Sus scrofa: one gene and its partner. The protein of the gene in region 2 binds, or shares a complex with, the protein of the main gene of each other region. Links are inferred from orthologs where the notes say so. Each region holds a gene or a part of one and is shown on either strand. Other genes may lie near its edges. The genes, in order: EXOSC5 and EXOSC3.

Region 1 (3,247 bases), on a different chromosome or scaffold from region 2:
TAAGGCATAAACCACAGCTGCAGCCGATTCACCCCCTGGCCTGGGGACTTCCATATGCCACAAGTATGACTGGCACAGAAGGTCAAGGTTCGGGGGTTGTCACTGCAATGGCTTGGGTTGCTGCTGTGGCACAGAATACGCCCATTTTCAAAAGCCCTTGTGAGATGCTGCCACCCGTGACTGAGAACCAACAGACCTCAGCCACCCCCGTTCACAGGCAGGGAAGCAAAGTGCAGAGTGTACCAGACCCGCATCTCCCGGGTTTGCCCGAACAGTGGAGGCTCTGGGTATAGGTTCTGAGTGGGACCCATGCTCCACCACTAACCAGCTGGTGACCTCTGGCAGTTAACTGGCTTCTGAGCTTGTTTTCTTACAAAGGGACTATAACAGCCCAACCACACCCTTTTTGAGTGAGTAAAAGCAGCACGCAGAGGCCAGACTCCCCTCCGAGGCCCTCAAAACCCGCTGCCAGGGGGTCATCTCCCCAGGTATCCACTGAGCGCATCCCGGCTTCCTCCTGGGCTTCCCTCAGACTCCTCCCATGAAGGTGCCCCAGACTGTATTCCATCTGCCTTCCCCAAATGAACTCGCTGAAACCCTCTTCCCTGCTTTTCTTTTTTCAAAATAGCATTTACCACTCTCCAACAAACACAAATTTTATTTGTCTATCACAGCACTGCTTCTCAAAACCCAGGACCTGGGTCCCATACATTGCCATGGCCTCAGCACCTGGTAGGGCCCACACACTGTAACAGGCCTTGCAGGGCTGTTGAGATGAGTAGGTTCATTCAATAAATGCACAATCCGTTTTCTTGGGGTGGGGCAGACCCTGGGGCTATTAGCCACACATTCCTGGCAGGTTAGGGGCTCCTGCAGTGACAGAGCCACAAGCTCACCCCCACGCACAAGGACAGACAGGCAGGGCCGGGCTGCTGGTTTAGTTGGTACTGGAGGGAGTGGGCGGTGGCGGGAGGGGCACCTGCCCTGGCCTGCCTCAGCTCTTGGCTGCCTCAGCTCTTGGAGTAACGCCTCTGCAGCGATTCCCGGTAGAAGCGGAAGACGTGTTGGGAGGCAGTCTGGGCTGCAGCCAGGCACTGCTGGAGCTGGAAGGAGAGCTGGGTGGGTGCTGGGGGGCCAGGAGGTTCCCCCGGCCCCACCTGACCCCCAGAACCCACAAACCTACTACCCCCCTTCACTGGGTGTCCCCCTCACCCCAGCGAGGCAGGGGGGTGAGGGAAATTACAAGTGTATTTCCTTCTTCCCCACGTCCCGGGCTCCTTGGGGGCGGGGGAACGGGGAAGGCTTCAGGGGTCAGATTCCATCAGTTCCAGGGCAATGGTGCTCAGATTAACAGGATCAGCCATCCTGACCCCTGGAAGCGATTCCAACCTGCCGGGCTCTGGAATCAGAGATTGGAATTTCAGAGCTACAGAATCCAAGCCCCCACATCTTTACTGCCATGTGTGCCTGGACTCACAGGAAGGCCAGGTGGGCAATGCTCCTGGAGACCACCTGGCCCAACAGTGGCCACTCTGTTTTTCAGACACCCTGAATTCCAGAGCGTGCAGCTCTGAGCTGGAAGCTGGAAGGCCTTCAGGTGCTCCCAGCTCCTGATTTCAACCTGAGCCCCTCCTCTCTTCTCATAAACTGGGCTCCCTTTAAAAATTCCCAAAGGTCTCTAAGGCTAAAAGTTTGAAAACGCCTCCTATTTACAGAAGGCAGGCATGGAAGGGGCTCTCCTTAAGCCTCTCAGGGTTGGAATAGGGCCTCTTATCAGGTGGACAGGAAGGACCTGGCTTTCACCCCGTTGCAGGCTGGTACCTCAGCATCTGAGTAGAGTCCCTTGGTGGTGGACATCAGCAGCTTCCGTTCCACACTGTCAAGAGCAAAGGTCAGGACCGCCCGGGCCTCCTAGGGACAAGGGGTACAAGGTGGGGGACCTGGGACTCTCCCCTCAGCCACAATCTCAGTTGTCTCAAAGAGGGGGGCTTACTTTTACAATTTTTCTTTTCAGGGCCACACCTACGGCATATGGAAGTTCCCAGTCTAGGGTCTGAATTGGAGCTGCAGCTGCTGGGCCTACACCACAGTCATGTGGGACCCAAGCTGCCTCCATGACTTACTGCAGCTTATGGCAACACCGGATCCTGAACCCACTGGGCGAGGCCAGGGATCAAACCCACATTCTCATGAACACTAGTGATTTTTTTTGTGTGTACATACTACCCCGTCCCTGCTCCCCCGGGAAATGGTTGCCCACACGACTCTACCACATGGTTCTGACAGGGGCTTCTGAGCACTGTATCCTGGGCCACAGGGCAGCCATGTGTCGGTCATTCGCCTGTGTCTCCCAGCCTCCCCTTGTTGCTCTGTGCCCCTGGGGCTGGAAGCCAGCAAACTGTATTTCCAGATTCTCCTGCTAGTTAGGTTTCCCCAGGAATCTGGTGGGAGACTGGAAGGAAGCAGAGCAGCATCCTGGTCCTTGTAGTAGCAGGAGTTTGGGGTATATTGCCTGCCATGGAAACCGTACCAGTGTCTCCAATAGCACAGAGCAGGAGTTGGCTTCAGGGCGCCTAATCTCTGGGCGTCCTCCCTTCTTTTTTTGCTTTCAGTTCTTCCAATATGATTGTAATCAGTTCCCTGCATTAAATTCCCTCTGTCTGAAATCCCCCAAGGGGTTTTGGCTTTCCCACCTGGATGTGACTGTTTCAGTCTTGGGCAGATAACTAGGAATAACCAGAGCCCCAGCACACTATGAACTTGAGCCAGTGAAGAAAAAGCTCTCTCCTTCTTTGCTTCTGCACCTCTTAAAATCATTTCTCTTTTTGTTGAAGTGGGCTAGAGTTGGGTTTCCAGCACTTGCCCAGATGAATGGAGCAGAGCTTGCCAGCTGGGACTGAAGTGGTACAAGCCAACCATTTTGTTTTTTTTGTTTGTTTTTTGGTCTTTTTAGGGCCACACCCACAGCACATGGAGGTTCCCAAGACAGGGTGAATTGGACTGCAGCTGCGGCCTACACCACAGCTCACGCCAATGCTAGATCCTTAACCCACTGAGCGAGGCCAGGGATCGAACCTGCATCCTCATGGATGCTAGTCAGATTCATTTCTGCTGAACCCCATCAGGAACACCACAAGCCAAGTGTTTTGAAGCGAGACCTGGAGGAGGAAGGGAGAAACTTTCCACTACCTGGCCCTTCATACCTACCTTTTCTTGCTTGGCTGTGGGGTCCAGCATGAAGGTCCCA
Region 2 (4,278 bases):
GGGTGTTTTTACAGAGGCGGTGGTGTTCAGCCTAGGTCTTGAAAGACAAGCATGTGTTGGGAATAGAGCAACCCAGCAGAGGAAAGAGCATGGGCAAAGGTACAGGGCTGTTACATAGTTTGGTGGGATTCAGGCAGGGCCACATGGAGAATATCACTATGGATGAGAGGAGACCTCTGAGTATCAGCCAAGGAAATACGTAAGCTTTAAAGAACTTTTGGGGGTGGCGTGGGTAGGGGGAGAAAGAGTTGTGTCAGTTCTTAAAAGCCTGGATGGAGGGGCAAAAGTGTACAAAAAGGATGTTAATAAGGAGGTCACAGATTAAGTCAGTGAAGAGAGATAGCTAAGGCCTGAACTTGCAAAGTGGAGATAAAGGGGTGGACATGTGGAAGATCAGAGGTAAGACTCAAAAAGGATCAATAAGATTAAACAACTAAAGACACAAGAGAGGTGGAGTTCCGTCGTTGTGGTGCATGGGAAACAATCCAACTTGGAACCATGAGGTTGAGGGTTTGATCCCTGGCCTCGCTCAGTGGGTTAAGGATCCAGCGTTGCTGTGGCTGTGGTGTAGGCTGGCAGCTGTAGCTCCGATTGGACCCCTTGCCTGGGAATCTCCATGTGCCACAGGCATGGCCCTAAAAAGACACAAATAAATAAATAAATAAATAATAAAGACACAAGAGAGGTGAGTGAGAAGAGCAAAGAAGCCACCAAATTTCTGACTTAGATTGGCAGGAAGAGTGTGACCATGCTACCTGAAAAGCCCCAAATGAAAACATGACTGCACCTCTGTCAGCTACAAAAAAGGGATTGCTGGGAAAGTGATCTGACAAGCTGTGAGATGCTACTCCTGGGACTCACACTGGGATAGACAACTGACATGGCAATGTGCACCACTTTCCCCTCTTTCCTCCCTGAGCCTATTGCCTTGTCCAGGGCATATAGACATAATAACAATGGAGAAAACAGATATAATCTTTCAACTCAGTAGAGATGAAAACATCCCCTGATGGAGCAAATGAAAAATAAGTATGAGGTCTGGTCCCAGAGCGAGCATCTCAAAGGGCTCTTAAAGCCTGGAGTGATAAGTCATCCTATAGAAACTGGGAAAATAAGACACTTAAGATAGCCCTCTGGATATCTGAGTGTTTAGGGATTGGGTATTTTTCTTACTTTTGAAACCAAAGGTCCTGTCATTACCTGAACATTTGGTCTGTTTCTTTTAGTTGCACCTTCAAATGCCAAGTAAGATAAAGAAGCTGGCTCACTCCCTCCAACATCAACTTTGAATATATCTCCAGATTTAGCGGTAACTATGCCAATCACATGGTCTCCTTTGACTGGAACATACTACAAAAGAAAACACAACGAGAGAATGAATGACCATAAATGACAGTCATTTTGAAGACATCTTCAGCAAGTCCTTAGTGGTTACTTTATTATCATTAGAAATACTTAGAAAATATTTGGAAATCCAAGTTTACCAATCAATACAAATCTTAAAACAAACTTGATCACATGCCACCTTCAGTAGAAGAAAAGCAATCACATGATAAGCTCTAAAGATTGCAGCTTCTAAACAGTATAATGTGTTCACTTAAGTCAGTATTCCACAACTCTTCTGTATCCTTCTGTTCCTGTATCCTCAGGAACTCCCTAGTTTTTGTTTGCATGAGTTCAGTGGTTTGTTTGCATAAGTCCCTGTGACATCTACTCATTGAGCCTGGTTCTTTGGGACCCTCAAAGACAAGTCTGCGGCTCCTTGACTTTTGGAGTTTTGAAGATAATGACGTGTCTCACAGCCCTTATCCCCTTATGTGACAAGATCTCCAAAATCCTTTCCTGGTCGCCCATCTCGGGTCACTTTACAGTTGTTCACAGTCCCCCTAAAGGAGTTGCGGAGGGTAAGCACAAGACTACGGTAGCTGTAGGCTAGCCTTAAAAGAGGGCTCCAGGGTCCCTTCTGTATTTCTCTCGAGGAGTCTTCCCAGCCCTCTCCCGGCCGTCCCACCCCTTCGGAGACCCGGCTCACCCGCTTCTGCTGCGAGTCCACCCAATAGACGCCACTGCCGCCGCCGCCGCCGGCCTCCTTGTGACGGAGGCGGCCGCACTTGGTGACCAGCAGCCGGTCGCCACAACGCCGCAAGCCCGGGCCACACACCACGCGCACCCGCGGGCGCGCTCCGGCGTTCAGGCGCAGCGGTCGCTCCCCTGCACCTCCTGGGCCTTCTCCGTCCTCCTGCTCAGGCAGCAGCAGCTCCTCACCCGGGAGCACCACCTGATCCAGCACTGTACGGGCTGCCCGCGCCCTGCAACCAGCAAAGGACTCCGCAGCATGAGCGGCTGGCTCAGCCATAGCGAGTGTAACTAAACAGTTTCCGGCTTCCGGGTCCGCGTCCAATCGCCAGGCCACCCAAAGCTTTCCGTTTCCGGCAGCACAGGCCTGTGGGACTTGAAACTACTGCAGTGATGCCTGACAGTTCTGTGCTCTCAGAGGTTGCCCCAAGGTAGCTATGATTGTCTCTAGCCGGCCGCTAATCCTGCGGTGGTCAGCAGGAGAAACGCGCAGCTTGAGTCTGTCGCGGAGCCTCCACTTCCGGTGTCTCGGATCGGACGGTGCGATACGAGACGGCGCCACCTTTGGTTCCCGGGGAGCCTTAGGAACTGAGCAGAGGTCCTTCTTGAGTTGGCTCTCCTTTCTGACTCTGCCCTCAAAAGGACCTTTACGAGGAAAAGTGTTTTCTTTTTCAGTATGAAATCTTTTTGGGTTTTGCTTGAGAATATATCTATTCACATAATGGAAAACATAGAGAAGAATAAGAACATAAAACGTGTTAGTCTTGCCGCCCGTTTGTCTCCCTTGCTAGATTGTCAGCTAGTTCCCATTGTTTGTAGCGCAGGTCCTGGCACGAAGTAGGTAATACCCGGTGAATAAAAGGAAGAATGAATGTTAACATTTTGATGTGCATTTCTACCTAGGCTTTTTTCCTCCCTTCGAATAGATACATATTGCATGCATATTTCCACATAATTGCGCTACCCCTAGCTGGCTTAGAAAAATCGCTAATGGCAGTTAAATCCTTGCTACTGCTTTCCCTGGAGCTAGCTTTAGTTGCCTATGTGAAAAGCAGTTGAATTCCAAATCAATAGCACATCAGCTCTGTTCTTCTGATTTTCAGGACTCTCACTTGAAATCATTTTCCAGAGTTCTCACTCGGGGCCTTGCTGTGACACAGATTCCATCCCTGGTCCAGTAACTTGCACATGCCTCGAGTGCGGCCAAAAAAAGAAAAAAAATTTTAAATCACCGTTTCCTCTGTCAACTGGCACCTCCAATTAGCCTTAGCCAAATAATCGTAGGAGTCAGAGCTCCTGGGGATTTGGGAGGGTGTGGCTCTGATCATATTTAAAAGAGATTACCTCTAATATACTCTCCATACTCTGTAAGATACTGGTGAGACACCTAAATAAGATACCAGAGGTCAACTGAAATGTAATTTTTGTTGTTTGTTTTGTAGTCAGTTGCTGTAAAAACAATCTGGTTGGTTACCTTTGCAGAAAGGATGGTGTAGATTATTTTTCTCTCCTCCCTACTCCAACCCAGTTCCTGAAGACCTGAATCCAGTAGGTATTAGGTGACCAAGACTAACTCAATCACGACTGGGCCAAGACCATGCCTGAATTGTGCTCAGTGACATTGGGTTACAGCCTGAGAGGTCAGGAAACGATCCCTGGATGGCCTCTCAGGCATCAGTAGAGGAGTCTCTGTCAGGAACTCAGCCCAGATACGGCTGAGGAGTCCTAACAAGGGCACTTCTGTGGGGGTGGCACGTGGGCACGCACATCCCTAAGTCCACAGACCAGAGGCCTGGAAAAGAGTGGTTACCTGAGACAGGAAGCTGAGGCCGGGAGGGGCGGGTCGAAAGTACCTCGTGGGCGGTGCTCTGCGCGACCCTCCCAAAAGGGCGTGCCCAGAGGGTGGGACGCTGGAAGGCACCCGGGAGGCGGGAAGGCAGCCTGGCCTGGGCACTGCGTGTCACCACGTAGGTGCTTCGCCGCCGCGGAGCCGTGTGGCCACTGGTGAGTAAGCGCGAAATGGGAGCAGCGGGCAGGCCCTGCATGCGGTTGCGTGGGAAGCCGAGGCCATTAGCAAGTGTGCGGAGTCCGGCTAGGAGCCGCGAACCCTGACGGCGGCACTAAGTGAGGCGTTGGGCCGCGATTGCGAAGTTCTTGTTTCCGAAAGGCGTGCTCAATGTTTTCTGGCTGTGAAAGTGGCTT

The links.
Region 1: EXOSC3 (region 2) and EXOSC5 share a complex: the UniProt entries of both Homo sapiens proteins name them as parts of the RNA exosome core complex. The link is inferred for Sus scrofa from reciprocal best matches to the Homo sapiens genes EXOSC3 and EXOSC5.

Annotation. Positions count from the first base shown.
Region 1 is NC_010448.4:49,372,738-49,375,984, forward strand, and holds the end of EXOSC5 (exosome complex component RRP46), read right to left. Parts: coding exon 3,208-3,247; intron 1,912-3,207; coding exon 1,822-1,911; intron 1,104-1,821; coding exon 1,011-1,103; 3' UTR 641-1,010; downstream 1-640. UniProt on the Homo sapiens protein: Non-catalytic component of the RNA exosome complex which has 3'->5' exoribonuclease activity and participates in a multitude of cellular RNA processing and degradation events.
Region 2 is NC_010443.5:238,538,757-238,543,034, forward strand, and holds the start of EXOSC3 (exosome complex component RRP40), read right to left. Parts: upstream 3,001-4,278; 5' UTR 2,357-3,000; coding exon 2,033-2,356; intron 1,351-2,032; coding exon 1,201-1,350; intron 1-1,200. UniProt on the Homo sapiens protein: Non-catalytic component of the RNA exosome complex which has 3'->5' exoribonuclease activity and participates in a multitude of cellular RNA processing and degradation events.